3 linked regions of the Saccharomyces cerevisiae S288C genome follow. The gene in region 2 interacts genetically with the main gene of each other region. Each region holds a gene or a part of one and is shown on either strand. Other genes may lie near its edges. The genes, in order: OPT1, MUP3 and FAU1.

Evidence for each region.
Region 1: mutations in MUP3 (region 2) and OPT1 together harm fitness less than expected from each alone (positive genetic interaction), as found in Saccharomyces cerevisiae (one large-scale study listed by BioGRID).
Region 3: mutations in MUP3 (region 2) and FAU1 together harm fitness more than expected from each alone (negative genetic interaction), as found in Saccharomyces cerevisiae (one large-scale study listed by BioGRID).

What each region holds. Positions count from the first base shown.
Region 1 is NC_001142.9:28,760-40,368, forward strand, and holds OPT1 (oligopeptide transporter OPT1), read right to left. Parts: upstream 7,491-11,609; coding exon 5,091-7,490; downstream 1-5,090. Other genes in the region: YJL213W (uncharacterized protein), read left to right, coding at 3,404-4,399; PEX2 (ubiquitin-protein ligase peroxin 2), read left to right, coding at 8,160-8,975; CBP1 (Cbp1p), read left to right, coding at 9,246-11,210; NUC1 (ribonuclease), read right to left, coding at 11,435-11,609. UniProt on the Saccharomyces cerevisiae protein: High affinity transporter for glutathione. Also transports tetra- and pentapeptides like the opioids leucine enkephalin (Tyr-Gly-Gly-Phe-Leu) and methionine enkephalin (Tyr-Gly-Gly_Phe-Met) across the cell membrane.
Region 2 is NC_001140.6:22,486-32,942, forward strand, and holds MUP3 (Mup3p), read left to right. Parts: upstream 1-3,755; coding exon 3,756-5,396; downstream 5,397-10,457. Other genes in the region: EFM1 (protein-lysine N-methyltransferase), read left to right, coding at 1-1,055; CBP2 (Cbp2p), read right to left, coding at 1,132-3,024; YHL037C (uncharacterized protein), read right to left, coding at 3,293-3,694; putative ATP-binding cassette multidrug transporter VMR1, read right to left, coding at 5,493-10,271. UniProt on the Saccharomyces cerevisiae protein: Very low affinity permease for methionine.
Region 3 is NC_001137.3:550,958-560,428, reverse strand, and holds FAU1 (5-formyltetrahydrofolate cyclo-ligase), read left to right. Parts: upstream 1-6,459; coding exon 6,460-7,095; downstream 7,096-9,471. Other genes in the region: PUG1 (Pug1p), read right to left, coding at 64-975; TOG1 (Tog1p), read left to right, coding at 1,749-4,133; FMP10 (Fmp10p), read right to left, coding at 7,170-7,904; YER181C (uncharacterized protein), read left to right, coding at 8,633-8,956; SLO1 (Slo1p), read left to right, coding at 9,307-9,471. UniProt on the Saccharomyces cerevisiae protein: Only enzyme known to utilize 5-formyltetrahydrofolate (folinic acid) as substrate. Contributes to tetrahydrofolate metabolism in an alternative way of folate biosynthesis.

The sequences.
Region 1 (11,609 bases), on a different chromosome or scaffold from region 2:
CTCACAGAAGATTTGGTAATATGATACTTAGATGGGCTTAACAACAAAGTGTTTTCTTGATGTTACTGCCCATGAAAAAAAGCAAATCAAATTAGTAGGCGGATTGTTAACTTTGTTTATTTTGAAACCCGTCAGGACTACCAAAATATAACAAAGTATTGATTATCGTCAACGCTTTATAGATCACTTTTTTTTTTTTTTGAGGAACCGATTAATTAATACATCGTAGCCTCTGCTTATTGCATAACACAACAAAAAAATACAATAATACGCAACTTTTGTTTATAGAAAAATAAAAATGGAACATATGATATTCTCTGTTCGTCATATGATAACTTAAGCACTTTCGTGTGTACATAGGTATTCTAGTGCATTGGAATGAGATCAATTATGATTTCCTAACCCAGAATTTATATTACTAATGATTTCAGAATTAATAAAAGCTGAAATAAAAGGAGTAGCAATGTAATAGGAAATAAACGAGGGCACATAGAAAGGAAGAAGAAAAATTACATTATGTGGAATTATTGATTCCCTTGGCAATTTCCCATAGTCTCATGAAAATTCCTGGCCTATTCTGTATTCATAATTCCATACTCTTTTTTAACAATGAAACTCCGGTAATTACCACAATATTTACTTATATCTCAATACGAACGCATGTTCTCTTCGAGGAAGACCAGCATTAGCGCTAAGCGCTAAGCGATGAGTTGACTTAATTTTTAAAAGGACGATGTTGGCGCGTTAGTGCATAAGAAAGTCAGCAAATCCCTTTAAGCTGAAAACCTTGATATATTTCTCGGCCTTTAATAATGGCGCAACTGATTTTAATTATCTTTGAATGGCTTATCTGTAACGAACATGTGTTACTAAACTAGTAGTAAGTTAGAAATACTGTTTATCCAGAATATGTAAGTTGGTGCTTCTAAAGTAATATAAGACCGCTTTAATTTGTTGTAACCTCTGAAATACAGGTAACCGCTGGGTCATCTCCTATCTAACTTTTGGTAAAAATGACATCGAAAAGAACAATTTTCGAAATATTCAATTTGTTCGGGTGTCGGTTTAATGCTCAAGGCCCCAATATTTCATAATAGGATTCTAAGAATTGCAGAAAATTCAGCTATGTTTCACCCATTTTGTTATTGGTGAAAACCGCCAAATCGATATCGATATAGTCACATTTTAGAGCGTGCCGATAGTCTCTAAACTTACACGAACGTCATTATTTGTAAGTAGACAACTGGGAATTTTAAAAAAGGTTGAGAAGATTCGTTTTATAAAATATGACGTCGTAAAAGAAGAAAGTGACAATACTGTTGCTGCGGGTTAAAAAAATAATTCTCCTACAAGCTTGAGACCTTTATTACAATTCCTACCTAAATTGGCTCTTCAGGGGGGTTTTCTAGGCAGGTATCTCTAGAATTTACTCAAGAAGTTTATTTTCTAGTGCCAAAAAGTCTACTGCTGATATTCGCTTCTACTGATTAAGAGCTGCTTTAAACCATCTTGTTGCAACATTGAGTTTGGACTTAAAGCCTCAAGTTGTTAGTGATGTTGCTTTTCAGGATGACGTGTAGTTGATCATCTTACAGAAAAGGAAGCAATGGTACGTATAAGATATTATTTTAAATGAGAAGTAGCTGGTCTTCAAATCACAGACATTGTGATGGCAAAGCAGTGATAAATAAAGTTTTCACACCCAAAGCAACATCTTTCCAAACCGTTTGTGTGCCGTGGTGAACAGATAGAAGAGGGCACTGTTATTCAAATTTTGAGGGTCGGGAGAATTAACTCGTTAATTATTCCTGGTGTCGAATTTGCGTCATTCCTAAACTTGGATATTCTTATATGGCAAAAAAAGAATTTTTTATGCCACCAACACGACGGCATATTCTGGAGTGATTATAGCCACTGCTAACAAGATAAGGCGGTAACACCCGATTGTGCAGATGTCCTCATTTATCCTGTTTCCGAGCATTTGATTAACCGTCTCTGTGAGACCAGTTAAAGACCTCTCTCAAGAAAAATATGTAAATTTTTTTCAGCCACTTTATCGGCACTGGAACGAAACGATATGGTATTCCCAGTATCAGCCACGGCCCCGTGTAAGCCGTAAAGTAAACAAAAATTTTTACCACTAATTTCGTTGCGTATCAATTTATACTATTCTTTGTGAAAACCTACACAGACTACCAACAGAAATTTTTTTGGTCAAACGAGTCCAGTCTGGTTATTCGCTGGTTCATGTAAAATGTTAGCACCATCTACAGATTCCGAACATTAAAATCGTATTATGCATAATATAGACATTAATGAGCAATCTGTTCATTACCCCCTTATCGTATGGCAACAGCTATTCCTGATGTAATAGTGATGTTATATTGCTTTCGCCATTATTAATTTTGAGGAAGCTTTCCAAACAGATTACATAGCTAACTAATTGCAATTTTGCGACGCCATAAGGATACGCGATTTCCTCCTTTTCTTTTTCGCGTTGTTCTGTGCGCTCTTTTTTTCAGCCAAAAAGGGTTCCTGAACAAAAAGACCCTGTTTTTTTTCTGCCTGTTAACTCTGATCTTAAAAAGTTACCAATTTTCTAACATTTCTCAATAAAGACCCTTCGATAAACAAGATTCTTGAGAAATAAAAATTTTTGTGACGTTTACTTTTGAAAGTCCTTGAAGAATTCATTACTAATAGAGAAAAAATGGTGATAATTTTTTTACTTCACCTCCTTTCTACTATCCCTCTTATTCGGATTATCTAGCTTTAACTTCGCCAGTTTTTTCTTGACACACTTCACAGATGATGGTGCCTTCATGTCGGCATGACGCATTATCTCCATACTAAAAAATGATCCGACAATATCTCCTTCCTATTTGATCAGCCTCTTATCGTTCGTAAACGACGTAACTTGACGGAGAACGGAGAACTTGTTGAATAGAGAAGAGTATGTCGGTAATTGATCTCCGATATGAGCGAATATAAAAGCAACATATTTGCTGGTATGTAGCGTAGCTTTTCTTTCCAATTGACGGGACATCGAAACAGTATATTAACCGAGATAAAAATGACGACTTATCAAATCGATGTCAATGAAGGAATGAACAAGTCCCTGGCCGACTTGGTGGCACCATAGCGCCCAGAGCCACTCAAAAATTACTGTATAAGTAACACTAATTTGATAGATGTGGTAAGCGGTGTCAGTCTCCTCGGAGCTTACATCTTCATAGAACAGGGTGTCATTTCCAAGGTCGAATTTGGTTCTGAAAAGCCGGTAACCGTTGATGAAGTTGCCTTTGAAATTATTGACGGCACCGGTAAGTATGTCACTCCAGGTCTGATCGACAGTCATGTCCACATTGCGTCGGTTGCAGGAGAGGCTGATCTGACCAAGTTAATGCTGATGCCAAAGTCAGTTGCATTACTCAGAATAAGATACACTTTGGAAGCCGCTCTGGCAAGAGGTTTCACAACAGTGAGAGACTGTGGGGGTGCAGAAGGCTTTCTGAAAGCAGAGATTCGTCAGGGATCCTTGAATGGTCCCAGATTAATTACGTGTGGACATGCCATTTCCCAAACTGGTGGTCATGGCGATCTGAGATCTGGTGCCCTACCTGCTAGTGCCTTTGACAGCTGTTCATGCCACTTTGGTCAAGTTGGTGTTGTAGCAGATGGTGTTCCCGAATGCTACAAAGCGGCCAGAGAAGAGTTTAGAAGAGGTGCAGACTTTATTAAGATTATGGGTGGTGGAGGTGTGGCCTCTCCAACTGACAAAATATCAAACAAACAATTTTGCGACGACGAAATAAAAGCACTTGTAGATGTCGCAAATAGTTACCACACATACGTAACAGCACACGCCTACACTGCGGAAGCGATACAAAATTGTATCAAGTTAGGTGTTAAGGGTATCGAACACGGAAACTTATTAGATGAACGTACCGCAGAGCTTATGGCAGAATTGGGTTGCTACTTGACTCCAACACTAGTTACCTACAAAGTGATGGGTTCTGATCAATTTAGTGCATTCTTGGGACCTGAAAATAGTAGAAAAAATACAGAGGTGCTTTACAAAGGAATTGATGCAATGAAAATTGCCCAGAAAAAAAAAGTTAAAATTTGTTTTGGTTCAGATTTATTGGGTCCTCTATATGGTTATCAAACGCAAGAGTTTCGTATTAGAGGGAAAGTTCAAACGACACAAGAGATTTTGCTCTCAGCAACTGTTACTCCTGCCGAAATGAACGGATTAGGCGATAAATTGGGACAGATTAAGCCAGGGTTCATTGCTGACCTACTGATGATGAAATCAAATCCGTTGGACGATATAACGATTTTGGATGAACCCGAGAGCAACATACTATTTGTCATGAAAGAGGGAAGGATATATTGATGTAGTTATAGTTGTTTTCACAGTCAGCATTATTTCTGAATGCTAGAAGCCTTTTTTTTTTTGAAGTCATAATAAAATATTTGGCTTGTAAATTTAAGTATTGAAGTCAAAATATCCTACTTATATCACAGTGAAATGTGAGGTGGATATGGCCCTTTAGGGCCCTTAATTTTACAAGTTACAGAATCTTTTTTTTTTTTATAGCATTTGTAAGGTCCGTGTATTCAGAAAAAAATCCAAGCTTAAAAAAGTGTATATAACATTTGGTATCTGAAATACGGATCTATCATAAAATAGAACACCTCAAGGAGGTATAAATTTTAAAAGTTTTTTTATTGTATGCTCGTGCCCGTTTTTTCTTAAAGTCGGAATTTGTTATCGAACACTTGGCATGCGCTAAAGATCGTTAATTTACAAAAATAAGGCGGATGAGATGCCTCCGCTAAATATTGCAGGGGTCGCTTTGAATGTTTCGACCAAAATGTGCTCTAAAATATAGAAATATCATTATTAACAGTATAATTAAACGTTGAGATAAAGTATTTCAAGTTAAGCAATATGAAAGGATGACAGAAAAGAAAATAATTTCTTAATATTACAGAATATGAACTAAAGTTTGCTATTACGTGTGCCAAATTTTGAATTAAAACTTGATATGAACCTCTGCAGGTTTATTATTATGTTTTCATGATTACCACCATTTATCATAACCAAATGTCTCACCTTTCTTTAAGGTATAAAATTTTTTATAATCATTATCATACGTTCTTTTCCAAACGTTGTTTCCCCACCAGCTGAGCTTACCACCTGGGTACTGTACACACAAGAAGATGATGACGACGGAGATTGCCACACCTGCTTCAACACCGGCCCCCATGACGAAATTGTACTTATTGAACCAAGCTCTCCATCTTTTTCTTATCAAGTTTAGGCAGAATGACATTGCAAAAAATAATGAGTAGTTATAAGGTGTGCTTGGTGGAATATTACCTGGGCCTGTGAAAAATACAGGAGTATGAATGTGCTTAGCAAATTTAAATTTAGGGAATTTCCATTGAACAGCATAAACGGCTAGTGGGAATAGCAAACCAATCAAGAAGAACCACATCAGCGGATTATAAATGCGCCCTGATGAGAAAAGATACTTTGGCAAAGACCAGATAATGGAAGCATTGAAAACCGTGCGACCATTAGCACAAGTGAAGCCATTTGGTTGATCGGTGGTACATAAGCCATCGATATTATGCATCATCCATTCCTGGACACCAACGTTAACCATGCCTGATATGATAGTGGCATAGATTTGAACGGCAAAGATCAAACGAGGGGAAACCTTCATGTACATGGCTAATTTCAAATCTCTACTCAAATTCAAGCCTTGTCTCATGACAATAAATCCGTATAGCTTGAATAATAAGTTTGCCATTGGTCTTAAAGGCAGCATATAACCGCAGATCAATTCTGTGATAATATTCAAACCTACGTGTTGGTTAGTCATTGCTTCCAAGATACCTTGCGGGATGAAATTTACAAGGGAAATTAATATTGCAATAACAAATGCCCAAGCTGGGAACTTAGTATCGAAACAGCACACTGCTACAAATCCTAAACCGATCATGACAATCTGCAAAAGTAAATACCACCAATCGGGACAATCCTTATAGTTCTTGGAGTAGATTCTCATGTGAATGTCAGTGCCACCATTTTTACGGTCTTTAAACTTGGCGACAATATCTTTACCGTGGTATAAGATGCAGTGGACAAAAACGGCGATAACAGCGGCAAAATTTAAAGCATACGACAAAAGATAGGAAAATGGAACGAATACCGGTGAGTATTCCTTATATTTCTCAAGATTAATGGAATAATCCTCGTTAAGAATCTTTGTTACGTTGTATTTGTTTTGAGTGTTGTCATAAGTAGAACCTGAAATGACGGGCATGTATTTGGCATACCAGGTATTCGTAAAATAAAGACATGGCAGCACTATGACGAAGAATATCAACACTGATGCATAGGTGTTGGCGGAGACGTAGAATGGTGTGGCGAAAACAGAGCCGGACATGGCTTGGGAAACCTGGGTGTAGTCAAATGTAATTGGCAACGCACCGAGACCACTTTGAGTACCAAAGATTGTGTTAGCGATGAAATTGTGTCTTGTCTTCGACCCCCATAGGATAACGTTGAAATAGGACAGACCGGTAAAGAGGAATCCAGGTACCCAATACCAGATGAACGATCCGATAAGGACGATTAAGAAGAACCTGTAACGGGGCATCGTCCAACCATTTGCGACTGTCTTTTCAACTTTTCTCGAGTGCAACGAATCAAACAAGGACACTGAAATTAAAGTCTGAGGCCAGATAGAGCTTGCAGGGTTGACGACCCATCTTCTGGTAAGACCTGCAGCACCATAACCAATCATTTGAGATGTCCAAACCAACAAGAACTGATATCCGACATTAAGTTTCATGTTGTAAAAGCTTCCCTGGGCGTTCAAAATGTACATAGCGTATGCAGTAGAGGAAGTAAGCGCCACGGCAATTGTGACCACGGCGTGTTCCTTTTTGGTAAATGGGCCCGGGTTTAAATCGAAAAATGGCACTTTAGAACACTTCCAGTCGGGCAAGAGAGCCAGTATCCTACCAATTGGGTAGCAAACAACTTGTGCAACAAGGAAGTTGATCTCTAGCGATGGATATCTCAGGGAAAAAAATTGATTAACACCGGCGAAAACTACCACAAACACCGTGGTCAAGAACCACGTTCTCCAGTGGTTGAGGCGGATGGTGGGGTCATCCTCGATGGACACCGCCGATCTCACTTCAGGATATGGAGAATTGGGCAAGTATGTAGGGTCGCCCTTCCAAACGAGACCTTCCTCCTGTATGGAATGCCTGTCGAATTTTTGGCTTTCCGGATCGCGGTCCTCCTCATCAGTAGTCGCAGTGAGATTATTGACGTCCTCGTCAATATTCTTAACGAAAGCATCTTTCTTTTCCTCTTCCATATTGATCTGGATAGGAATGGTTGTTGGCGTTGGCGAGGGCTCCGACTCCAACGAGTCGCTCTCCCTATAAATGGTACTCATGTGTTCTGTGACGTTATATAATTGTTGCGGTTATTTTCTGCCACACAGTCGAAAACTTTTTACCAAGAATACACAGCTTCCGATGATTGTCCATATATAGTCGAAACAATTCATTGAATAGCCCAAAATTTGAAAAAAAAAGAAAAATGATGGGCACCCCATGATGATAAGAGCTCTCTTTCTTCAACAACGATTGCTAAGGCGTTTACAGACCCATCGACTGCCCTTGCAGTGGGTTTGATGTGATTAACAGGCAGCAGCAACAAGCAACTGCTGAAAACCTTGGTGCCTTGCAGACGGCTATTGTCCTGGATTTTGTGTGACAAAACGTAGATGTGGCGTCTTGTAGTCGGAGGTGTGGCGGGCCGGAAAAATAGTGGAAAAAAAGAAAATTAATGCGATAGCGACGGGCAGGTAGGGAGGTTTGAGGGGTCCGTAGTATGCGTCTATCGTTGCAACAAGGGTGACTAATGCCATGTCTTGGCCTTTGATGCAACGTCTCGGAAGTTAGTATCGATCCGAGGAGTGGAACGGATGCGATTTCCCCTCCATTCTATCGATAAGGTTGCTGGGAAACGCATTATAAGGGATGAGTGAAGACGGAGGGAAAGCATAACGAGGAGAGATTGCCGAGATAACTGAGAAGACGTAATCTAAAGGCAACGCAGCATGTCTCGAGTTGCACAGCTCGACTCGATAGCGCTTGATAAAGAATTGTATGGACAGTTTTGGTCCGAGTTCAATGCAGCATTCAATACGAGTGAACACAAAGAGGAATGGGAGTTGGCACTGAACACAGTTGTGTTTATGTGCGCGACGAGGTTCCTGCCACACTATGGCTCTAGCTGTACGTATGGATCCGCACTCAGTGGCGTGGTTTTTCAGTGCAGGAAACGCACCTTGTATGTCGTCACTGTCTTGGCAGGGTACGTGTGGAAGAAGATCACACATATTATTTTTAATGGGCCGCACTGTGGGAACCAGATGATGTGGCTGAAGCTGTACAAATGGGTTAATTTATTGTATCACGGCTGTGATGTAACCAACTTCCTGAGGTTTCTAGCAGCGGAAGGGCCCAATGCGAGGGCGTTTTTGTCGCCGTTATACCGGGCTTTTAATGTCCATTCCACAAGGTTGATTCGGGATGGTTCTGCAATTGCCTCTGAATTTTATTCGAACTCTGTATTCGCTGGGTTAGAATACCAGAATAGACAATTGCTATGGAATGCACTATTAGAACTCTTTTCCAATACACTACTTACGAAAAGAGGACTCTTGACCTTTGTTAAAAAACCACCAAGGTCTCGTTCTACGACTACTTATAAGACAGTTTGCCCCCGTTGCGGCGGTTTTCCAACCAACCCATACCAGATCGCTTGTTGTCGTGCGAACTACTGTTACGTGTGCGTTGTAAAGGCGTTGGAGTGGTCTATGTGCGATGCCTGTGGATCCTCTGGGAGACTGACCGCCTCACCAGTGTACTAAAGGGCCCCGTTCCCTCGCTTGTATCTCTATATATGTGTATACTATATTCATATTCATGTTGTCAAAATCGGTCACGTGGTAAAGGGTCTGGTTTTTTTTTTTTCACTTTCTGCTCAAGAAAAAAAAGAAACAATAAAGAAGTGGTATAATATCATCATGGAACGCTGTACGGGACGATGTGGGAAGCGACGTCTGAAATCCAGTAATAATAAACAGTGAGCACTTTAGGATAGCAGTAGTTTGCATTTTGCACGTTTCCCTTTCCATGCAATGTTTTTACCTCGTCTCGTTCGGTACAGGACCGAGAGGTTTATAAAAATGGTACCTACCAGGACCTTGCGACGAATCAACCACAGCAGCAGGGATCCAATTCAAAAACAGGTCTTGGCCCTTATCAAAGCAAATGCGAATTTAAATGACAATGACAAGTTGAAAATACGGAAATATTGGTCTGACATGGCGGACTACAAAAGTCTTCGGAAACAAGAAAATAGCTTACTGGAAAGCTCTATATTACACGAGGTCAAGATCGAAGATTTCATCAGTTTCATCAATCGCACAAAAACCTCATCTATGACTACAAGAGGAATTTATAGAAGAGAATGTTTGTACCAATGCAAGAAAAACTTGGATCTAGTCAATCAAGTGGTCTCCCAAGTTTCATCCGTAAGACATCAAAAGCCCTTGACTACGCAATTGGATACTATGCGCTGGTGTGTTGATGATGCCATCGGCACAGGAGACATAGTTATGGCTGCCGACCTTTTCCTGCTGTACTACAGATTATTTACAGATGATAAAAAGCTAGACGAACAATATGCTAAGAAAATAATATCAGTATTAGCGTACCCAAACCCACTGCATGATCATGTTCATCTAGTCAAATATTTACAACTGAACTCTCTGTTCGAAAGTATAACCGGAGGCGGAATAAAGTTAACGAGGTTTCAATTAGAAACTCTTTCTAATAAGGCCCTCGGCTTAAGTAATGAAGCCCCGCAATTATGCAAGGCTATACTGAACAAACTGATGAATATAAACTATTCTTTGACTAACGATTTGAAGCTTCGGGATGATCAAGTGCTGCTTGCGTACAAGTCCATTGATGAAAATTATAGAAGAGGAAATGTTGCAAGTGTGTATTCTATTTGGAACAAAATCAAAGAGCACTATGTTTCCATTTCTGCACATGATTCCAGAATCATTTATAAAGTCTTCAAGATTTGTACCCATAATAGAGCCTATAGATCTATATGTAGCGAAATGTTTTGGCAATTAACTCCAGAGTACTATTGTAATAACCCTTTGATATTACCGGCAATTATTGACTTCATTACAAAGCAAGACTCTTTAACAATGGCCAAGGAACTCATGCAGAACATTAACAGATACACTTTACCCGAAAACCATCATATTGTCTGGCTTAACAAGAGATGTCTTTCTTCATTGCTAAGAATGCATTTGAAATTTAACGATTCTAACGGTGTAGATAGGGTTTTGAAGCAAATAACAACAAATTTCAGGGCGCTTTCGCAAGAAAATTATCAAGCAATAATTATTCACCTTTTCAAAACACAAAACCTCGATCATATCGCTAAGGCAGTCAAATTACTCGATACTATACCCCCCGGACAAGCAATGTTAGCCTATGGGTCAATAATTAACGAAGTAGTTGATTGGAAATTGGCTTCAAAGGTCAAGTTCACCGATAATTTGATGGCACTTGTAAACGATTTGTTGACGAAGGCACATGATTTTGATCCTGACCACAGAAACTCTCTTTGGAATGTGGTTTCCGCTTTATACATTAAAAAACTTTGTCATTATAAAAAGCGAGATGGTAAATTTGTTGCCAATGCCAAGAAGGATATCGATTTGGCAAAACTACTTTATATAAATGCTGCAAAGAGAAGTAAAACATACTGGACAAAATCGAACTGTAACCCATTCATTGCATCCTCCCCATGTGATGTCAAATTAAAAGTGAATAATCAAAACAGGTTTACTATTTTAAGGAATATTGCATTAAGCGCACTGCAGATAGGAAGAACAGACATTTTTCTTTGGGCGTGCGCAGAACTATACCAGAACGGTATGACGATTGAGGAATTGAAGTTAGACTGGAATTTCATCTTAAAACATCAAATTAGAAATTCAGAGTTCAAAACAAACAAGGAGATCATACAAGATATTAAAAAGCATGGTGTGTCGGCTGTCAAACGTTACTTAAGATGAACGGCCAAACGCACATTTACGATATAAATAACAAAGCAAATAATAACAAAACAAATTTCTGTAAATATATACTAAATCCAAGCATTGCATCCTAATTCTTTTCTTTTTTTGATCATCAAATAAATGTATTATTTTATGTTATATGCGTTAGACTTGTTATATTCTTTCATGCTATTCTATCGTTGTGTTATGAATTAATTTATATTTACAGTTTTTCAGTACATTCAATTCCTTTTTTTTGGAGGAGGTAACAATTTCACATCTTTCGATTGTTTGATCGCCGCGTTAGAGAAATCTCTCACTACAATTTGACAATTTACCTCTTTGCATAATGCCTTCTTCTTTGAAGGTGGTACTTTTTGCAGAAGTTCTAGCCCAGTACTTCTCTCTAAAGCATCT
Region 2 (10,457 bases):
TTTTGTATCCAATAGTAGATTTATTAAACCATAAAAACGATGTACCAGTAAGATGGGAGATGAATGAACAAAATGAACTTTGTTTCATGTCGCAGACTACCACATTTAGTGCACAGGATGAATTGTTTAATAATTATGGTAATATTTCTAATGAAAAATGTTTGTTAAACTACGGGTTTTGGGATTCCTCGAATAAGTTTGACTTCTCTAGGTTGACTTTAAAGCTACCATCCACCTTAGTTAGCGGTTTGCCCGTGGATTTTAACAAATCAGGTAATTTTGTTACTGACGATGGAGAAACTACCATTTTACAATTTAGTTTAAAAATTTCTGAACCATTACCACCGGTTCTACTAGCGTTATTTGCCTACCTAAGTAAATTAAAGTCTGAAGAAACTCCAACCGTAAGGAGCGTATTGGAAGGTATTGATCAATTAACATCTGTAGTATCCCAGAGATTGCTGTTTTATAAGAATTTTAAAATTAAAACTTCTTCGACTCAAAAATTACGCCCTCATGTTATTAAACTAATCAAACTATACTATCAAGATAACAAAAAAATTCTGAACGCCACTACTGAGAAATTGTCCGTTTTACAAAAAAAAATATATAGCAATAATAAGGAGTTTTCTCTGTCATTCAAGACAATTTTTAAAAACGACAAAATATTTGCCAATTCTCTCTTACTGGTATTTGGTGCTATAAATTACGAAGATTTGATCACAAAAGACTGTCTTAATGACGCATTGTTGCTCTGGATAGTCAAATTAATCAACGATAAAAGTAATAATCAGGGAGGTTTCATTAAACAAACCTTCAAAGAAGTTAGTGATTCAATTGTCATTGAAAAAGAAGATGTTATGGAGTTTTTGCCGTTCTATAAAAAATACTTCCCTAATTTATCGGAGAGAATTCCAGAAATTTATAGTGTCGGTGATTGGGGCATAAGACAGTTCATTGTGGCAGATACTGCGATTGATAGATTGGTTTGGATCAGGAAATCAAATAAAGAGCCTATATTTCTAATGAAGAAGGCATACGACTTACAGATTTAGCTTTGATCTGTAGCCTAAGTATAAAATTCTACGTATGTATATATTTACATGCAATTTTTTCTTTTTCCAATTCATGTTAATGTTCTTCATCATTTGATAATAGGCCAATGATATTATCTACTATCTTCTCCTTTTGAGGAGAAGCTGCTTTCACTTCCTCGTTGCTTTTCTCTTCGTATAAATACATGAATTTCGACTTGTCCAGCATTTTTTTATCAATACAATGCATGTGCCCATGAAGTTCTACCTCCGACAAATCTTTAACAAAATATGTCGTTATTTGTGTCATGAATTTCAGTAGGGTTTGAAATATTTCGGGTATGGCGTTCTTCTTATCCAGAATAACAATTTTGTAGTTTGCTGATAATGTTATTGGACGAAGCTGGATGGGCCTATTTACGCGGAACTTTTCGCCATATATTTCCTGTTCGAAGTATAAAAGTTGGTTGGCCAATTTCTTTAATCCGTTTGCAGATTGTAGCGATTGTTCATTCGCAAAACCAGGTTCTATTGTTGCATTTATTGACTCAGTGAAACCCACCAACTCCATTAAAGTTGGTCTTAAATCATCTTGCATAAACTTGTACAAGTTTGGCTGGAAAATTCTAATCATTTTCGATTTTGTCAGCACGGTTTGCAAAATTAATGTGATGTGTTCAAATCTTGATAAAGTCGTTTCATCATTTTGGAAAATAGAGAATTGGTTCCATTTCATTTCTGAAATTACCAGTGCGGAATATGTTTGTAGGTCATGAAGAAAAGAGTCGTATTTTGTCTTGTAGTTGATCAGAGAAGCTTGGTCCGTGGGTATTTTCATGGACTCGGTCTCTTGATATTGCTTCCATATATATGAGTCCCAAACATTCCAACTAAATTGAAAGGAAGGCGCATTATCGTTACCAGAGAAGGAACGGATGCTTTTCTTGTTACGTTGTAAAATGGTGAATATATTGTAGAGAATGAAATTTTTGCAAAATTCAGCCCTCAATTGCCGGATGGAGAAGTCGTTTGATAATATTGTAGCTCTTAAAATGTCTCCAGGGCACGTTCTGTCTTTGTTTGATTGTTTGCTCCACAATGTCTTATGGCTAACCGATCTTTCTAAAAGTTGCTTCAAAGTGACGACATTACCACCAGCGATTCGAGTTGTGGCACTGTTTGCATCCAGATAGAATGGTTTACCCTCTTCGTTCGCCAGTATCCGACCAGCGTTAGCCTTCTCAATGCGCTTTCGTTCATTCAAGGTGCAAAGTGGCGAAGCTATCTTGGTCTTCAATTTGTCTACCTCAGTAACGAAAAATTCTCTATGTTTATCTACAAAGTAAGGGAAAATACCAATTCCATCGAATTCCCCAATCATCGCCTCATCGGAAACCTGGAAAAGAGGCAAGGGCTTTGCATTAGCTGGGTTTACAAACATGGGTACCTCACCATTATTTTGTTCCAAGAGTCTATCGTAAGTGCTCTTCTTAACCCCGATTCCCCGACAAAAGTTTGAAAATATCGACTTAGGCCAAATTACACGCTGCAGTTTCAACTTATCATCTTTGCATCGTACCCTTATTAATTGTTGCCACTCGAAAGATGGCTTGAAGTCCTCATCCATTTCGCTGAACAACTTCTCGTAGAGACTTAAGGGGTGGTCAAACATAGGCGCAATCCGTTCCCAGTGTTGGATCCTCTTCTTCGAGGATTTTTGAGTTAGATCTGTTCTAACAATCTTGAATGCGTGTTCGCGAGGGGCGTTTATATCACGTAATAGCAGTTTTTGCAAGTCCGTGAGTGAAATATTATACAGTACTCCTTCAAGATCACAATATTCATAAGATAAGTTTGTCTTCTTAAACGCTTGCTTACAGCGAGGGAACACCTGATGTGTGATATTCTCCATGTTGAACTTATACCTGTAACGAGAGGAACTGCCCTGTCTCCTCAATGAGACCATGAACAATGTTTGCCAATTCACCATTTTGGTCACTCTGTCTCAAACCTTTCCTTCAGCGCAGCCTTACTCCTTCAAGAGAAGCCTTCATTGTCCATTCACTTAAGCATAATTTGTCATCTTCAATGCAATTGAACTTTCACTAAATACACCCATACACACCAATCTTGGATTCTACTCGGCGGCAATCTTCACTCTTTCCTTTGTTTTATCATTTTCTATTCCACCTTTAGTTCCCCAACTTCACCTCTTATCGAACTATCAACACATTTGACTATCATTTTGGCAAATTCACTCACGTGAGGGCGTGTGCTAACCATGCAAGGGTTATGGCATGCGCATCCATGTGGCGTTTCCTACTTTTATTTTTACATAATATATAAGATAATTGCACATGCAAACAGTCAATCTTTTTCCTGCAATTGATGTGGAGACCAAAAGGTTTGCATCTCCTAGTACCACGATTTTTTGGTGCAAAAGTGTTGATAATGTAATTCAGGTAGAAAAGGTAGAAGTTTCCTCTAGTATGTTCACAGATTGGATTAGAAAAAAAGATCACGCGACTCTTGCCGGAAAAAACTGTGGCGTCGCTGCATATATATGACAAATCAATCATATAGATTAGAGGCCTGCCTGAGTCAAGGGGCAAAAACAATACACATATAAAGACCTGGATGCTTATCGATGATCTGTACATTCTGTTTGTAGTCTAAGTTGCTGAGGGCAACGTAGACGTACAGTGCTCAAAATAAGTAAAAATGGAACCGCTGCTTTTTAATAGTGGGAAAGCAAATCCCTCTCAAGATGTTTTCATAGATGTGGAAGTTGGTGATATTACCACAAAATATGGTTCCACAAATACTGGATCATTCAGTTCGATGGATACTGTGGAAGCGCAGGCGATAAAGGCAGAGACGGCAAGATTCATGGAAGTTCCACAGGGAAGACATTTAGGTGTGTTCTCCACGGTTGTGTTATTTGTTTCGAGGATAATGGGGTCAGGTATATTTGCAGTACCCAGTGTGATTTTACTGAATACAGGTGGTAATAAGCTGATATATTTTGCGATCTGGGTTTTTAGCGCTGCGATCGCTTTTGCAGGATTGTATCTTTTTCTAGAATTTGGTTCCTGGATACCGAAATCAGGTGGACGTAAAAACTTCCTCGAACGGAGTTTTGAAAGACCCAGACTATTAATTAGTGTGGTGTTTTCGTGTTACAGTGTTTTAACTGGCTATGCATTGACGGGATCTATCGTCTTCGGTAAATACGTGTTGAGCGCATTTGGAGTCACGGATGATTCGTGGTCCAAGTACGTCAGCATATCATTTATAATATTTGCCGTTCTCATTCACGGTGTCTCTGTAAGGCACGGAGTGTTTATACAGAACGCACTTGGTGGTTTGAAGTTGATCATGATTGTCTTGATGTGCTTTGCCGGGCTATACACGCTTTTCTTTTATAAAAGCACCGGTCAAGTTGCCTGGGACCTCCCAGTAACCCAAGTTGAGAAAGATTCTCTCCTGTCGGTGTCCTCTATTGCTACTGCCTTTATCAGCTCATTCTTTTGTTTTTCTGGATGGGATACAGTTCACACAGTTACATCAGAAATTAAGAATCCCGTTAAGACGTTGAAGGTGTCAGGTCCCTTATCGTTGATAATTTGTTTTGTCTGCTACACAATGATGAATGTGGCATACTTGAAAGTTTTGACATATGAGGAAATTGTTAGTGCAGGCCCCCTGGTTGGTTCCGTGTTGTTTACCAAACTTTTCGGACCCAGAGTTGGTGGCAAATTCATTGCTTTTTCTATCGCCATTTCTGCAGCATCTAATATTCTGGTTGTCATTTACAGTATATCAAGAGTTAACCAGGAAATATTCAAAGAAGGTTATTTACCATTCAGTATTCATATGTCCAAAAATTGGCCATTTGATGCACCTCTACCATCTATTTCTTTATGTGGCTTTATAACCATTGCTTGGATATTGATTTTACCCAAAGAGGGCGAATCCTTCAATTATCTGGTATCGATGGATGGTTATGGTAATCAGTTTTTCTTATTATTGGTCGCTATTGGGCTCTTTATTTGGAGGTTCAAACACAAGAACGAAGTCCCAGAGATTCGTGCATCTACTTTTGGAGTATTAGCCATTATTACATTATCATTATACATGTTGATGGCACCATTCTTTGCCGACCCTAGCCTAAACAGAGTTGGGTTCCTGCCGCCCTACCAAATCATGTCATTACTGGTAATAGTTGCATGCTTCTTTTTCTGGTTAGTTAAATTCGTTTTACTACCTAAATTCTTCCATTATAAACTTTTACCCAAAATCACTTATTTGCATGATGGGCTCATTGTCACAGAATGGGTGAAAAAGCCATGTCTGTGTTAGTTTTTCCTTTTCTACATAAATATTTTATAGACTACTATTGCATTTTTAATAAATAATATTCATCCTCATCTTTGAATAAAAGAAAGAAACATTCGATTATTTCATCATCTTACTTGATTGCTTGGCTATTTGCTTCAAAAGCTCTAGGCCCCCACTGTCACGACACATACTATAAAATATACCGCGTTCATCTTTCAACAGTTCACTAGGGCGATCATATTCTTTTACCTCACCGGCATCCATCACAATTATCCTGTCGTAATCGATAACAGATCTCAAACGATGTGCAATAGTAAGAATTGTGCTTTTATTAAACTCACTTCTTATAATACCCTGAATTAAATGGTCAGAATCGTAATCAATAGAGGAAGTAGCCTCGTCCAAAAGTATTATCTTTGGCTCGCGTAACAATGATCGTGCAATAAAAAGCAATTGCCTTTCACCTTGGGACAGATTTAAGCCGCCCTCAGCTATTTCTGTGTGAAGATTTAAAAATTTATTATGAGTGCTGTTAAAGCGTTCCTCCGAGTTAAGCACTTCTTCAAATTCATGTGAAGAAATTAGATTTACTTGTGAAAGTGCTTTGAATATTTTTTTTTCATCATATTCATCATATGGATCAACATTACTTTTGATTGTACCTGCAAATAGAATAGGGTCCTGAGGGATGATAGTAATGGAACGACGTAATGTAACGAGATCAATTTTACTTATATCCTGCCCATCTATTTTGATACATCCGGTTATTGGTTCTAGTAATCTGAATAATGCCGTTATTATGGTAGATTTGCCTGCGCCAGTTCTTCCGACAATCCCAATCTTACTTTGAGGATCCACTTTGAAACTAACATTTCTTATGACAGGAGGCAAATTTGGCGCGTAACGTAAAGATAAGTTTTCAATTTCAATTTCTCCATCTTTTGGCCACGATGGTTCGTTTAGAAGTAGAATGCGGCCTTCATCATGGCCAAGATAGTTCTCTTGTTCAATGCTAGAATATTCTTTTAGTCTTTCAACAGAGTTCATGTTCATTTCAAATGTTGAGTACAGTCTAACTAACCATAAAGCACCATCTGTAAACAAAATGGCATATGTCAAAGAAATGCCGGCAAGACCCGAGTCAATATTTGCAATATTGAGCAGAATAAAAGAACCTGATGCTAAAACAATGAATGCGCCAATCATGTCGACTCTAAAAGAAAACCATTTGACAGTAACTGATAAATAAAAGAATGCTCTGTTATTTTGGTCAATTTTGTTCATATTTTCTAAAATGAATCTCCTCTCGTCGCCAAATGCACGAATTGTGCAAACGCCTACCAAGGTCTCTGAGAAATGTTGAAAAATGGGTGATTTGGTTATTGAATCTAACCTTTTCAATTCTCTACTTGCCGTTAAGTACCATTTCCCCACAAAGAAATATAAAACAAAAACGATAACGGCGACTGTCAAAAAGCGAGGAGTTATTACGGTAATGAGAAATATAATTGATGCGCATTGAATTAGGCAAAATATAGTTACTTCTAAGTATGGAATCAATTCTTGATCAACACCTTCGATGTCCTTTGAAAAGCGATTCATGATTCTACCAACCGGCGTCACGTCGAAAAATCGTATTTGGGCATGTAGAACTAGATCTAGCAGATTATTAAAGATCTTTCTGGAGGCTCGCATACCGGATAAAAACGTCATCATTGTTTTAAAACCACCTAGCATTGCCTGAATGATACCAATAAGAAAATATACGGTTAAGTAATAAAATGCATTATGTTTATTTTTCGAAGAGTCGGTCATCCCTTTTAATGGCAGCGTGTCCATCGCAAAACCTGGAGCATTTATTCGTACATTGGTATCGTTGACCCAATGTCGTATCCACCAAGACTGACTGATGAACAAAATTTGAGCTGTGATATAAAGAGCGAACAGGGCTGTTAAAGCTTTGAAGCCTCCAAAAAATTTCAGGTACCATTTATAAACATCGGGGCTTATGGCACCGTTTGATTTTTCTTCCTCTTCTATTAGCTGGCCATCATTGACAAAATTTGCATCAAAATTTATGTTCTCGGTGACAGGTTCGATTTTCTGAGAGTCATTTTTTCTGGGAGCTTTTAATCTATTAGCGTTCTTTTCATTAATGCTATCTCGAGAAGAAAGTTGAACATATTTTTCCTTAAAAAGCCCTTTGCTTTGTAATTCTGTAATAGTTCCTTGATTCTTCACTTTGCCATTTTCCAACACAATCGCGAAATGGGCATTTCTAAGTGTTAATGAAACATTGTGCGTAACTAAAATGCAGGTTCTATTTTTCATTAGTGGACCTGTGATGCAATTTTCATAGATCCATACAGCAGTATGTGAATCGACAGCGCTCAAACAATCATCTAGTAAGACATGCTTAGCACTCGAATAAACAGCTCTCGCCAAGGAAATTCTCTGTTTCTGCCCTCCTGATAAAGTTATACCCTTTTCACCAATTTCTGTTAGGTCACCTGCTGGTAAAATCTCCAGGTCTCTTTTCAGCCCACATGCATCAATTACTTTGTTGTACCTATCCTCGTTATAGAAGTTATCAAAGATAATATTGTTTTTTACCGTGTCATTTAATAGCCACGCACTTTGTGAACAATATGCGAAGGAATTGGTTAAACCTTCGCAGTCGGGAATTAAATCATGCTTTGGTTCTAAGCTCGGAACAATGATAGAGCCACTAATTAGATTTAGTTCACCCAGTAAACCCAGCAGCAATGCACTTTTACCAGATCCTGTAGAACCCAAAATCAAATTTAACTTACCAATTTGAAATTTAATATTCAAACCACATAATTTGAATGCATTCATATCGCTGTCATTTTCATTCCAGGTTAAAGTCGCATTTTTAAATTCAATTTTATTTTTGTCTGGAGATATGGTTAGTTGATTATATTTTTCTGTATCGTCCATCCTTAAAAAATCGCTTATTCTTTTTAGAGAGACTTTTGATTGATTTATGAAACTTAGCATATTTGATAATTGATCCAGGGGTGTCTTTAACAAAGTGAAGAGTGACAAAGTAGTGAAAGCAAGCGGGGCATTCAAATCTTCATGTTGAACAAATGTACAGATGGCGAAAGTGACACCTGTCACCAAGGTCGGTGTCACGAACCAAAGAAAAGAAGTTACGGACCACACCAAAGATTTTTTTAATAAGGATCTTAATTCCTTTTGCCTTATTGATTTGATTTCATTTATAATATTCCTTTCCCAAGCAAAATATTTGACAATTCTTATGTTCTGTAAGCACTCGTTCAATTTTGAGATTCTTTGGTCAGTACATTTCAGTGTTTGCTTTTGAAACTTACCTAACAAATTCGCTAACAAGAAATTCAATGGGAACATCACTAAGATAATTGAAATTCCTGCAAAAGCTGAAACACCTAAAAAGTTGAAAAGTAGTCCTACAACAACTATTATCATAATTACTGCCTGAACTGTCACATAAAGGTAGTTTGCTAGTTCCGATACCTTAAATGAGTCAATAGAAATGAGATTAATTATGGTACCAAGGTTTGCGGAGATACTATCTGAATCAGAGCTGGTTTTTGGAGATGTAAACAGCCTCCTACGTAAGCCTTTTGCATAAATTTCTCCTATGAGTATGGCTCTTATTCTTAAACAAATCTTATCAGAAACAAATTGACCTTGGGAATTACAAATTGCTAATGTCAATCTACAAATGAACATACCAATAATATAAAGCCACGCCAAATTCATGCATGATGAGGAACGGTTTGGGTTATCCACAATTTCTAAAAATCTTTTCATTAAAATTGTGGGAAGAAGGTTTACAATACTGTTCACCAGAACCCATAACATTCCTATGAGTAAATATGTTTTGAAAGATTCAAACAGTGCTAGCGTCAAATTATTAATGTGCTTGTTTCTCCTGGTAAACCCTTTTAGAATGAAAATGCTATAGTCTTCCATTGATAAGCCCCAAATATCCTTTAACTTAATAGTGTTCTTTTGGGCCTCCCATATAAAATTGGTAATCCAGCTCCAAGTAATGCAACTTAAAATTGAGGATATGTGTTCCCTCGAAGGAGACGTATGGTCGTCTCTAACGTAGATGATGGATGAGTTGTCTTTAATCGGTGAAGTGAGCTTTATTGGCTGTAAGGTTGAAGTAATTACGAATTCAAAGATGTAAAATATCTGTGAGGGTACATCATCGATATTACCAATATAGACCGAACGAATTGGAATCCAGGTTGAAATCCAAATAGTTGTATGGGCAGTAAAACAGATGGCCCAAAGATTCGTTGAACGCTTGTAAACTCTTAAGATACTTAGGGAAAGTAGTATTAACCAAAATAATAGTAAAGTTGTAACATCTCTGTTCGTTAATTCAATATTGATTTTTGTTACTCTTAAAAAGGAAAGGCCAATTATTTGTAAAGACATTAATACAATTTCAGATGATTTTCTTAAGTGGTCACTAGTAGACGGTCTACTAAACGTTAGTCCACCATGATTTTTAGCATCGATTTGCTTGACATCTATAGTTGTTATATCAAAATGTCTAAGTTTCAAAATCCTTCCTTGCTTTTTGACGTTGACGTAATTGGCTTGGGTATTTGAGTTCCGTAGAAGTCTTTCTATACTATTATCTTCTTTTCTCTCTTCTTGTGCGCCAAATAGATATTCGTTCACTAAATCGCACTCGGCAGATCTTACATAACGAGATAATCCACTGCGACAAAGTGCGAAAATGCCAATTGAGGCTATGATAGCCAATGGTAAATAGTAGCTCAATAGCTGAGTTCTTCCTAAACGAGTAAAATCATCAACTTCCCAAAATGAACCATTATTTCGGATAATAAGGGGATCCGTTCCCATTCTCCGAGGTAGTGAACCATTGAGGTTGCAGCATGAATAAGATATAGGTGAGAGCTAGCGATTTGACATTTAGTACATAGATATTTATATATATATATAAGGGAGTTTTTTTTTATTTTTTTTTTCAAAATACGAAAATAGCAGTTCACGAGGCACTCACTTACTGGTTTTTAAAAGTGCACCCCT
Region 3 (9,471 bases), on a different chromosome or scaffold from region 2:
TTCTAAATGAAGTTAAAATTGATTGGCTGCACTACATAGAAATCAAAATTTGATATATATTATCTAATTACTTAACGTTTGACACTCCTTTATAACATCGAATACGTTGCCGAAAAAGGATCCCACACTAAATGCTATTATTACCAATAACATAGGTACAGCATCGAAGACATATATGAAATACTCATGAGAGATTATATAGCCATTGAATCCCTGAATAAATTCAACTATTCGGACAATTGAACGTAGTAGGATCAACATACTGCTTAATAATAGGGTAGCATTCACAAAGATCCACTTTCTGGAAATATCTTCGTAAAATAAGCATCTCCTTTTAACATTTACTGTGAATCTTATCTCATTGATAATGAAAAATCCAAAAAAAATTACCTGTACAAAAAGACCCGCAGTTATGAGTCCTGAACCAGTCTTCGTTGATCCTGCCTTAGACATTAGTCCGCCACCTGCAGCTTGTAAAAAGAAACTAAACACATCTCCCACAACAAAGAAAGTCGTACCAAAGCGTGCAGAAATCAAAATTAAAGATTGGCACCTCATAACATGTAATAACCTTCCAAAAATCATATAAATCGTCGCAGCTATTAGTGCTGGAGCGACTAATAAAAGAACAGATTGGATAATATATGGGGTCGTTCTTTCAGGATTGGAACTGGATAGAGCCCTCCCGATATACCCGACAGCTTCCATGATGCAGCCAGTGAAGAAAGGTATAAACGCAAAAACTGTGGGTGTGATTTTTAGTTGCTTGTATTCAGCATCCTCAAGACTATCGACCTTATCATCAGATGACTCAAATGGATTATTTTTCAATGCCTTAGAAGATTTTCTCGCAGCATATAAAGTTTGAACGGCAAAAATGACTGTCATTATAATGAAGAGTACGACAAATACGATTGCAGCCGCTTTACTTGGCGTATAGTGGTAAAGTACGAACCCCGAATCAGTTGTGGACATTTTGGAACGTTGATGGACAATAAAAGATTAAGTAGCTATGTAATTGGACACTATTAACCTACTATCCTGGACATTTTGAGGCAAGAGACTATACATCCCACAATTGATTCGGTAGGTGCTTTTATACTGATTCATTTGAGGTCTTGGCATTTGTTCAATTGAAGTACATTTAGTTGAAAAGTTGAGATTTATTTAGGATGAGCTTGCCGCGGCATGGGGAAAGAAACACTTCATCCTGTATGGAGAAAAACCACTTTGCCGCGGCACATCAAAACAGGGCTGAAACCTTCAGTATGCGCGATACCATTACACGACAATCGCATGGCTTAGTCATAATAGATCGAGGCGCTCATATACATGGCAGCCACAATATTTGAAGGTCGACAAATAAGGACAATATCAACGGTTAGGATACCGAAACTTGAATATGGCTGGTTTCTCAGGAACAGCCGATACTGTCCTGATCTTAACTTAAGGTGCGGTGAAGTAACCTGGATTCAACGCTGCATGAAAGACCTGATTAGGCTTATTTGATAATCCAACAAAAAAAGTGATTGGTTGGTTTGCTAGTATTCAAAAATAACTATTTTGGAGTACTTTGTTTGTTTGAAAGGCTGGGTAATAATTTTTTTGATGTGTGCTTTGAACAGTAAAAACTTTCTTCCTTTCTATAAGCTAGAAGCAAATCCAAATCTCATCGAATAAGCGCATTAGGTTAACGACATTATTGTTGTTTAAATTTTAAGCTTTTTAGCTTTTTATATTTTATTGAGATGGCAGCAAAAAGAGGATTAGCCAAACAAAAATCTAGGGTAACCAAGGCCTGTGATAGATGCCATAGGAAAAAGATTAAGTGCAACAGTAAGAAGCCATGTTTTGGGTGTATTGGGTCTCAATCAAAATGTACGTATAGAAATCAATTTCGTGAACCGATTGAGGCTTTTTTCAATTATACTGGTAGTCTCAGTAATGATTTGGATAATGCTAAGTGCAGCATAGCAAAATTGAAGGCACAGTTACCTCCAAGCGCACCGGCCTCTTTACAGAAAGGCCTAGCAAACATTTGCACTGAGCTTGAAAAAATACAACCTCAGCTTTACCTCAATCTGGACAGTAAGGAAATTAGCTCGTATGGTGGCCTGAAATCGATAGAAACAGAAATTATCGGGAAACAGTCAAAATCTTTGAATAGGTTCTCCAACGCTTTTGAAAGCAATACTGCACAAAATGTCAGTATGTACTTTGGGGTCTATTCACCGTTGCTATATTTTGCCTCTACGGGTATTAGCTGGATAACTAAAAAATTGATTTCATGTTCGAATGATAGGGAGACGAGAGAAACTATCTATTTATTTTTGAAGTTTCTTGACGCTAGCTCTGCTAGCCATGCTGGTCCTAAAGTAACTTCGATATCTCCTTTAGAGTATTATTCAAAGCTAAACGGACTTTCATGTGGGAACGACGTACTTATTCAACACATTATGTCAAATATATCGAATGAAATCAAAGGAAATACAAACATTAACCAAACAATCAAATTCAATAAACCAACAGACTGGTTTATGTACGGAGTACAATTGATGGAACAGCACCACAAGGCGTTGGATCGTAAAAGTTCCAAAAAATTACTTCCTTTGAAATATTTTCTTGAGCAAGATGAGTTGATTTTTTGTCTCTGTCTTGAATATTTTGAAAGATCCCTATTTTCGACAATGTACGACTTGACTATTTTAAAGGGCTTAGTCTCGTTGATGAAACACAGATATTGGATAGACGATCCTTTTGTGCTGGGAAGAATTATTTCCACGATGTCCAGGCGAAGTTTGGATGCTGGTTTGAATCGTTGGGAATATTATATTGGTCAGGATGAGGACACTGCCGAAGAATATCGTAAGTTATGGTGGGACTGCTACTGGTGGGATAGATGGTATTCATTGGTCACCGGTAAGCAGCCATTGATACCACATGAAATGACTTCGTGTCTCTTTCCCAAGGATGTGGTTGGATTAGGGGTAGATGATTCGATGGACTGTTTTACTTTAATAAACTTGGTGGAGCTCGACCCAAGTAAGTTTGATATTTGTATCTCTTTCGGCTATATTCTATTAACGAAAATTATTACAGCGGTATTCTCTGGTTTGCTTTATAATCGACACTTTACAGACTACAGATTATTTGCAACTCCTAACGCTAAAGACCTAAATGGAACCGCACGACAGCTTATGGTAGAGTTTTCAAAAATATGTAAAATTTTTCAGTGCATACAAGACAAACTAATCCCTTTCCTCAAACAATATTCTGAAAATAGTAATGTATTTGAACTATACACCCATTTCGGATTTGCAAAGGTTTGTTGTTTTCAGGGAATGGAGAGTTTAATTTTAAGGATACAAAATCTTCTACAAGAAAGAGAGAGAATTGAACTTGATTCCTGCGTAAAGGACATCAGGCTTCAAACCTTTGAAGCATCTGTAGATATTTTGACGGATGTTCTCAAGCACGAAGATACGTTCTATATTTTCCGTTGTTCGTGGTTCATATATGCCATCTTGATGAATATTACCTTGAATTTTATCGAGACCCCTAGAAGGAACTCGATATGTTATTTATCCTTGATGTGCCGCATGATAGCCTCATATAATGACTTATTTGTGAGCTCTGGCAATGTTAATTTCAAGGGCAACAACGCCTTCTCTAAAAAGTTGGAAAATGGAACAGCGGTTTCTTTCATCCTAACACGCATCTGCTGTCAGATGTACACACGTTCACAGAAAATGGCTAAGGAATCGCTGTTTTGTGAATTGAAAAAATATGGCCAGGCTTGCTCAGATGCTGGTCAAGCTGCGTTGGACATTGAATGTATCTGGTACAGGAATATTATAGGCGAACACAAAGAATCAAGCTTCCGTAAAGAAATTCTCAGCATTCTTGATAGGGAAATGGGTGATTTGGTGAATAATAGAGTTATTGGCGTACAGGGAAAAAATCAAGAAGGTGCTTGTTATGAGAAGTTGTCACCCAGCAGCACCAGTGTTTCAGTTGGCATGGACTTTTGTAGCCTCGAAAATTTTGTGACTGCAGAATCTCTACCAGACCTTCTCAATCTATTTTGGGAGGACACTGAATTTGGTATTACTAAAGAAAACCTCGGAGAGTAAAAACCAAGTATGCACCTAAACAATTGATCACTTTCAATTAGGAAATAAAATCCCTTGATTTAGACGAATACTGTAGAATGCAATAAAAGGTTTTGTGATTCTAATCTAGTCCCTTACGTTATGCACCGCTTTCAGGAAGGTTATGGGCTGTACCATGAAATCAAAGGTGGCTCATAACTAGTAAGTAAAAGTAAATGTCCTTTTTTTATGCAAGATCTAGAACGATTCGAGTATGGTGTTGATACCACTGTGGTAAGTCTTTCAAGCTACACGCAATTACACACACTCACAAATCTAGTTGTATTTACTCCTTTTATTGTTGCTAGTCTAATTATTCGTCCCACGATTTTATCGTTCTTTGAGTATTTCGGGTCTCAAAAGATTGCTAAATGAAATAACTCTTAAAAATTGCTTCACATAGTCTTGTTGTTACATTCACAATTCACAGCTTTCCGTTGCTCATCGCTTGATAGGAATATATTATGATAGGGATTATCCTGAAAGTTTCAGCAAAACGATAATTACTTCAGCTTTTCTTCGTCTATTTAACCTAGTTTTCCGTCATAAATCCGTTCTCTTAAAAGCACACCTACTCCACTTTCTGAAATAACATAGATATTGAATTTGACTTAGATTCATATATTAGAAAAATCGAATAGTTTCCTGTGCCTAGAAATTCTAAGGTGCCATTCCAGAGGATTTTTATGACAAAGATGAGATGTAAGAATCAACTTTTTTTAATATTTTATATCTTTCATCAAAGAAACATCACAATGTATATTACAAAGTGGAGAAGCATCCAAAATATAGCTGCAGTGAGAATTCATTGAACTGTATCAACTGGGTGGAAAATGTCACAGTCACTTATGGAATTCTATGATTTTATTCAATAGAAAACATTTAGTAAAGCTGGTAACCGACCTTTTTTTTTTACACATTTTTTTTTTTTTTGCTGATTATACCTTGCATTCTAACACCGGGTTCTGATGTTATCACCTACTTTGTATCTCGCATCATTCTTTATTTGGTAGACACGTCCCAAAATGGAGGATGCGCACTAACGAAAATGAAGGATAATGCAGTGAGAATGATAATTTTGATATTGATAGGATCAATTGAAAGCATATCACATGTTTTTTGTGAAATGTTGTATAAGAGATAGCGCTCTTGTTGGGTTTCGATAGGGGGAATGTGGAGTATCTGATGTAACACTGTAGTCTTATTTCTTGTCATAAAGAGGGACTGATTGGGGTGAGGCATATTATATTATAGGAAAAATTGCAGAATATCTAGGTAGTAGTCGCTTCAATAAATTTTTTTCCGACACAAGAATAATGAGACAAATCGGACTATATTTGACGATTAAATAAACCCAAAGCACCCCTATGCTATATGGGGGAACTTTAGAGTAAACAAGGTTGAAATACGTCAATTTGTAATTTCATAAAATACGTGAGGTCTTTTTGTGAGAGATACTTGCCCATTTAGATTTTTGTCCATATCGTGATAATTTTTTTGAGTTTTAATTAATGTGCTCCACCATCACAGAGTGTGTACCAGTGCAACCCACTCAGGGATATGCTTTAAGTCATATATTCTCGCTCTATGGGAACCATAAGCTGGACACATTTCTTGAGGTTATTTAGTAGCGAAAAATGGCGCAATGTTACTCTTTCACTTCTATTATATGGGGCTACAATGCCAATAAGGATTAATGGGTAGCGATTGTGGTTTCTTACCTTTGTGTAGTTGCGTAGGCTTTTTAGTGTATCAGTGAGCAAATTTAGTCCAAAAAGATCGCCAGCGAAGACTGTCGTATCTGGATCATTCGTAGTATCGATAGCTTAGCGATATTCTCGAGGATGTAAAGACAGCAGATTGGAGTTCTGATAATTTTTCATTACTTTTCAGTGAGAGAGTGCCTTTCTCGTTTTATATCTCAATCCTACCCGTAGAACTGGTCTGCTATTCTCATTTATCATTTTATTTCAAAAAAACCTTCAGGAGACAAACTGATTCCATCAAAGGCCTGTTTGCTATCTAGGACAATATTCGAGCTTAGTAAGTCACTTCCTGAAAACCATTCTGCTTGCGAGCCCGAAGCTTTGTGGCAATCAGTCTTCCACATCTGTTTGCAAGGGTGTTTTATTTCATGTCGTGAGAGATTTGTGATTAAAGCTGTTTTTATTAATCAGTTAGCAGCTTCATTCTCTTGAAGGATATATATAATTTTCTCAGATTTCTTCCGAATAATATTTAATCATTGAAATGGCAAAAATAAAAATTACTGTCAGCTACGCTATCTTTATATAGCTACAAAAAATTAATGGCCACTAAGCAATTACTGAGACGTCAAATCAAAAGGGTAATAAATGCTCTTGACTACGATATTATCGCTGCAGAGTCGCATACTATTTCTCAAGCAGTACGCTCATTGATCGCTTCCGCCAATTCTAGGCGTGTAGCGTGTTATATGAGCATGGATAAAGGAGAAGTAACGACTGGAGAAATCATTAAGAATTTATTTCAAGATGGCCAGGAGGTCTTTCTGCCAAGATGTACTCATACTTCTGAATCGAAACACTTCAAATTACGGGAAGATCATCATCCACATTTAATATTCCATCGAATGAGTAGTTTGAAAATGGTTCGTGATTTGAAGCCTCAAGGTCCATATCAACTAAAAGAGCCTGAACCGCATATTGAGGAATCAGATATTCTAGATGTCGTATTGGTGCCTGGAGTGGCGTTTGATATTAAAACTGGTGCAAGGATGGGTCACGGTGCTGGGTATTATGACGATTTTTTCCAACGGTATAAGATACTGCATGAAGGCCAAAAGCCCCTCCTAGTTGGACTATGTCTTATGGAACAGGTGGCCTCTCCAATTCCTTTAGAAAAACATGATTATTCCATGGATTGTATAGTATGCGGAGATGGATCCATACATTGGTTTCAATAATTTCATATATGTATTATTTACATGGTACAGCTATTGTATAAATAAATAAATAAATAAATAAGTAGACGGCAAATCTATTTTTCTTCTTTTGGATTCCCTTGTTCGCTAGAAAACGTGGCATTAGCTTTGACCAATGTCCTGTTGCCACTTTGGTCCATAAGTTCAGCCTTTAATTTAGTTTTGTTACCGTATTGCTGAAGATCGGTGGTTCTTACTACAACAAATTGATTAGCTAACGTGGGGAACTTGTACGAGATACTCAAATTCTTGGTTTCTTGGTTTATATTTTTTGTTCCTTTTTCGAGTCTAATGGCCTCCTTCATTAAATCTTCAATAACTGTTGCTAAAATGCCTCCGTGAATTAAGAAAGGATAACCAGTAAGTTTCATTCCTAAATGGTATAGCCCGACAGTTTCACGCCTACTGGGGTTGTAGTAAACTCTTGGTGGTATAGCGACGCCACCTGGTGTATTTAATGCCCTTGACACTAACAAGTTCTCCTCTTCATTAGCAATCACTTGTACAAAACCAGCATTCTCCAACTGTTTTACTATGGGTAGGCCATTTAAACGTCTATTCAGATCAGCGTGATATTTGACGACTTCATCTGCGTTCTTGGGTAGGGCATCATATCTCCAATAAGCTAGTAAGTCCGTGAACGTCATATGCTGTGTCAAGTACCACCCTCCAAGAAAACTTCCCCCAAAAATTGTCCATGGAATCCATCTTCTTTTGGGTTTAGAGGCTGTCTTGAAAACAACGCCATTTGTATACGTTCTTATCTGGGCTATTGCGATTCTTTTAAACATCTTGGCCTTGCTGGTACGGTCTCTTTCTCTTCCTTACTTTTCTTAGTTTCTTTATAAACTCTTTGTGCACTTTGTGAGTTTGTTCCTTTTCTGCCAAGGGGTATGCCTCATCGAAAATTAATCAATCTTTAAATAAGGTATTATGTTAAATAAATGAAATGTAAAATGTGTCGCTAATGGAGTACTTAGAGACATTTTTGGAAATCAGTTTTGTGAAATATTAGAAAGAATTCCTTTTGTTTATTTGCTCAGAGTACAACATCTCAAGACTTTTATTCCTGTTGCAAACCAATGTTCACGTACGGTGACCCAAAATGATGGCAGTCATAATCAAATCTAATGGAAGTTGAAATCAAGAAACGATAATGTAATAGGATTGTAAATTACAACTTACAAAGCAAAAGAAGTAATAATAATATGCTATTTAGAATTGCCGATTCTCTTTTATTGATTCCTGTATCTTTTGAGGAGAACTTCTAGTATATGTCTAATGTCGTTTTACTAGAAATGGGACCCCTGAAAATCGTCAGCAACTTTCAACTGAATCTGAGAATGATGCTCAAGTCGTCATTTTATCTTGCAGAAGCTAAGTGCAGGAGTTGATAATACAGCAGAATTAAAAGTGACAACGCAAGAAACAAAAACAAATGCAATCTCAATATTATGTGAAATTGATGATTTCGTAGCGAATCATGCGCACTGTGGGAGAAGCCTGGGTATAATTATGTATGCTAATACTGTTACGTTTATCTGAGGTTTGTGTGAATTTTGTGATAATTATCGGGATTCCATTGTTGATAGAGGCTTCAATACTATGTATACAGAACATACTAGAACTTCTCCTCAAGGGTATAGGGATCCTCAAATTTAATCGGTATTTGCATACAATAATATTACGATTATTTTTCCTATCGTTTTATATGCTTCATTTTCCCATTACATTATCAATTCTTGCATTTCAGCTTCCATTAAACTTGCTAACTCTTTCTCAAGCTTCATTTCATCTTCCTAGATCTCATATGATACTATACCAGCAGCAAGAATGCTACTAAATGGATGATATTCTAGAGTTTCATTTCATCATCTACACGAAGGGATGGGGGCATCTGAAGTATTTGAAACGTTGCTATGATTTCATAATTTATGCAGGTTTAACACAGATTACAGGTCTCTTGGCCCAGTTGGTTAAGGCACCGTGCTAATAACGCGGGGATCAGCGGTTCGATCCCGCTAGAGACCAATTTTTTTGAAAATCGTAAAAAGGCCCAAAAGGGAGAGCACAGCACGTTCTGCTTAAAAAAATAAAAAATGATGTCTTCAATAAAACATCTTAAGGACCAGTTTGTAGATCTGCGAAGTTGTTGACTAGATAAATTATAATAGCAAACAAACAAATAGGACAATGTCAGCGGAGAACATTAGTACTGGCTCGCCGACGGGCAAGCAGCCATCCTCTGAAGTTAATCTTGGCGAAAGAGAAGCTGGAACAAAAAATGAGAGGATGATGCGCCAAACCAAACTTCTGAAGGATACATTAGACTTGTTGTGGAATAAAACCTTAGAGCAG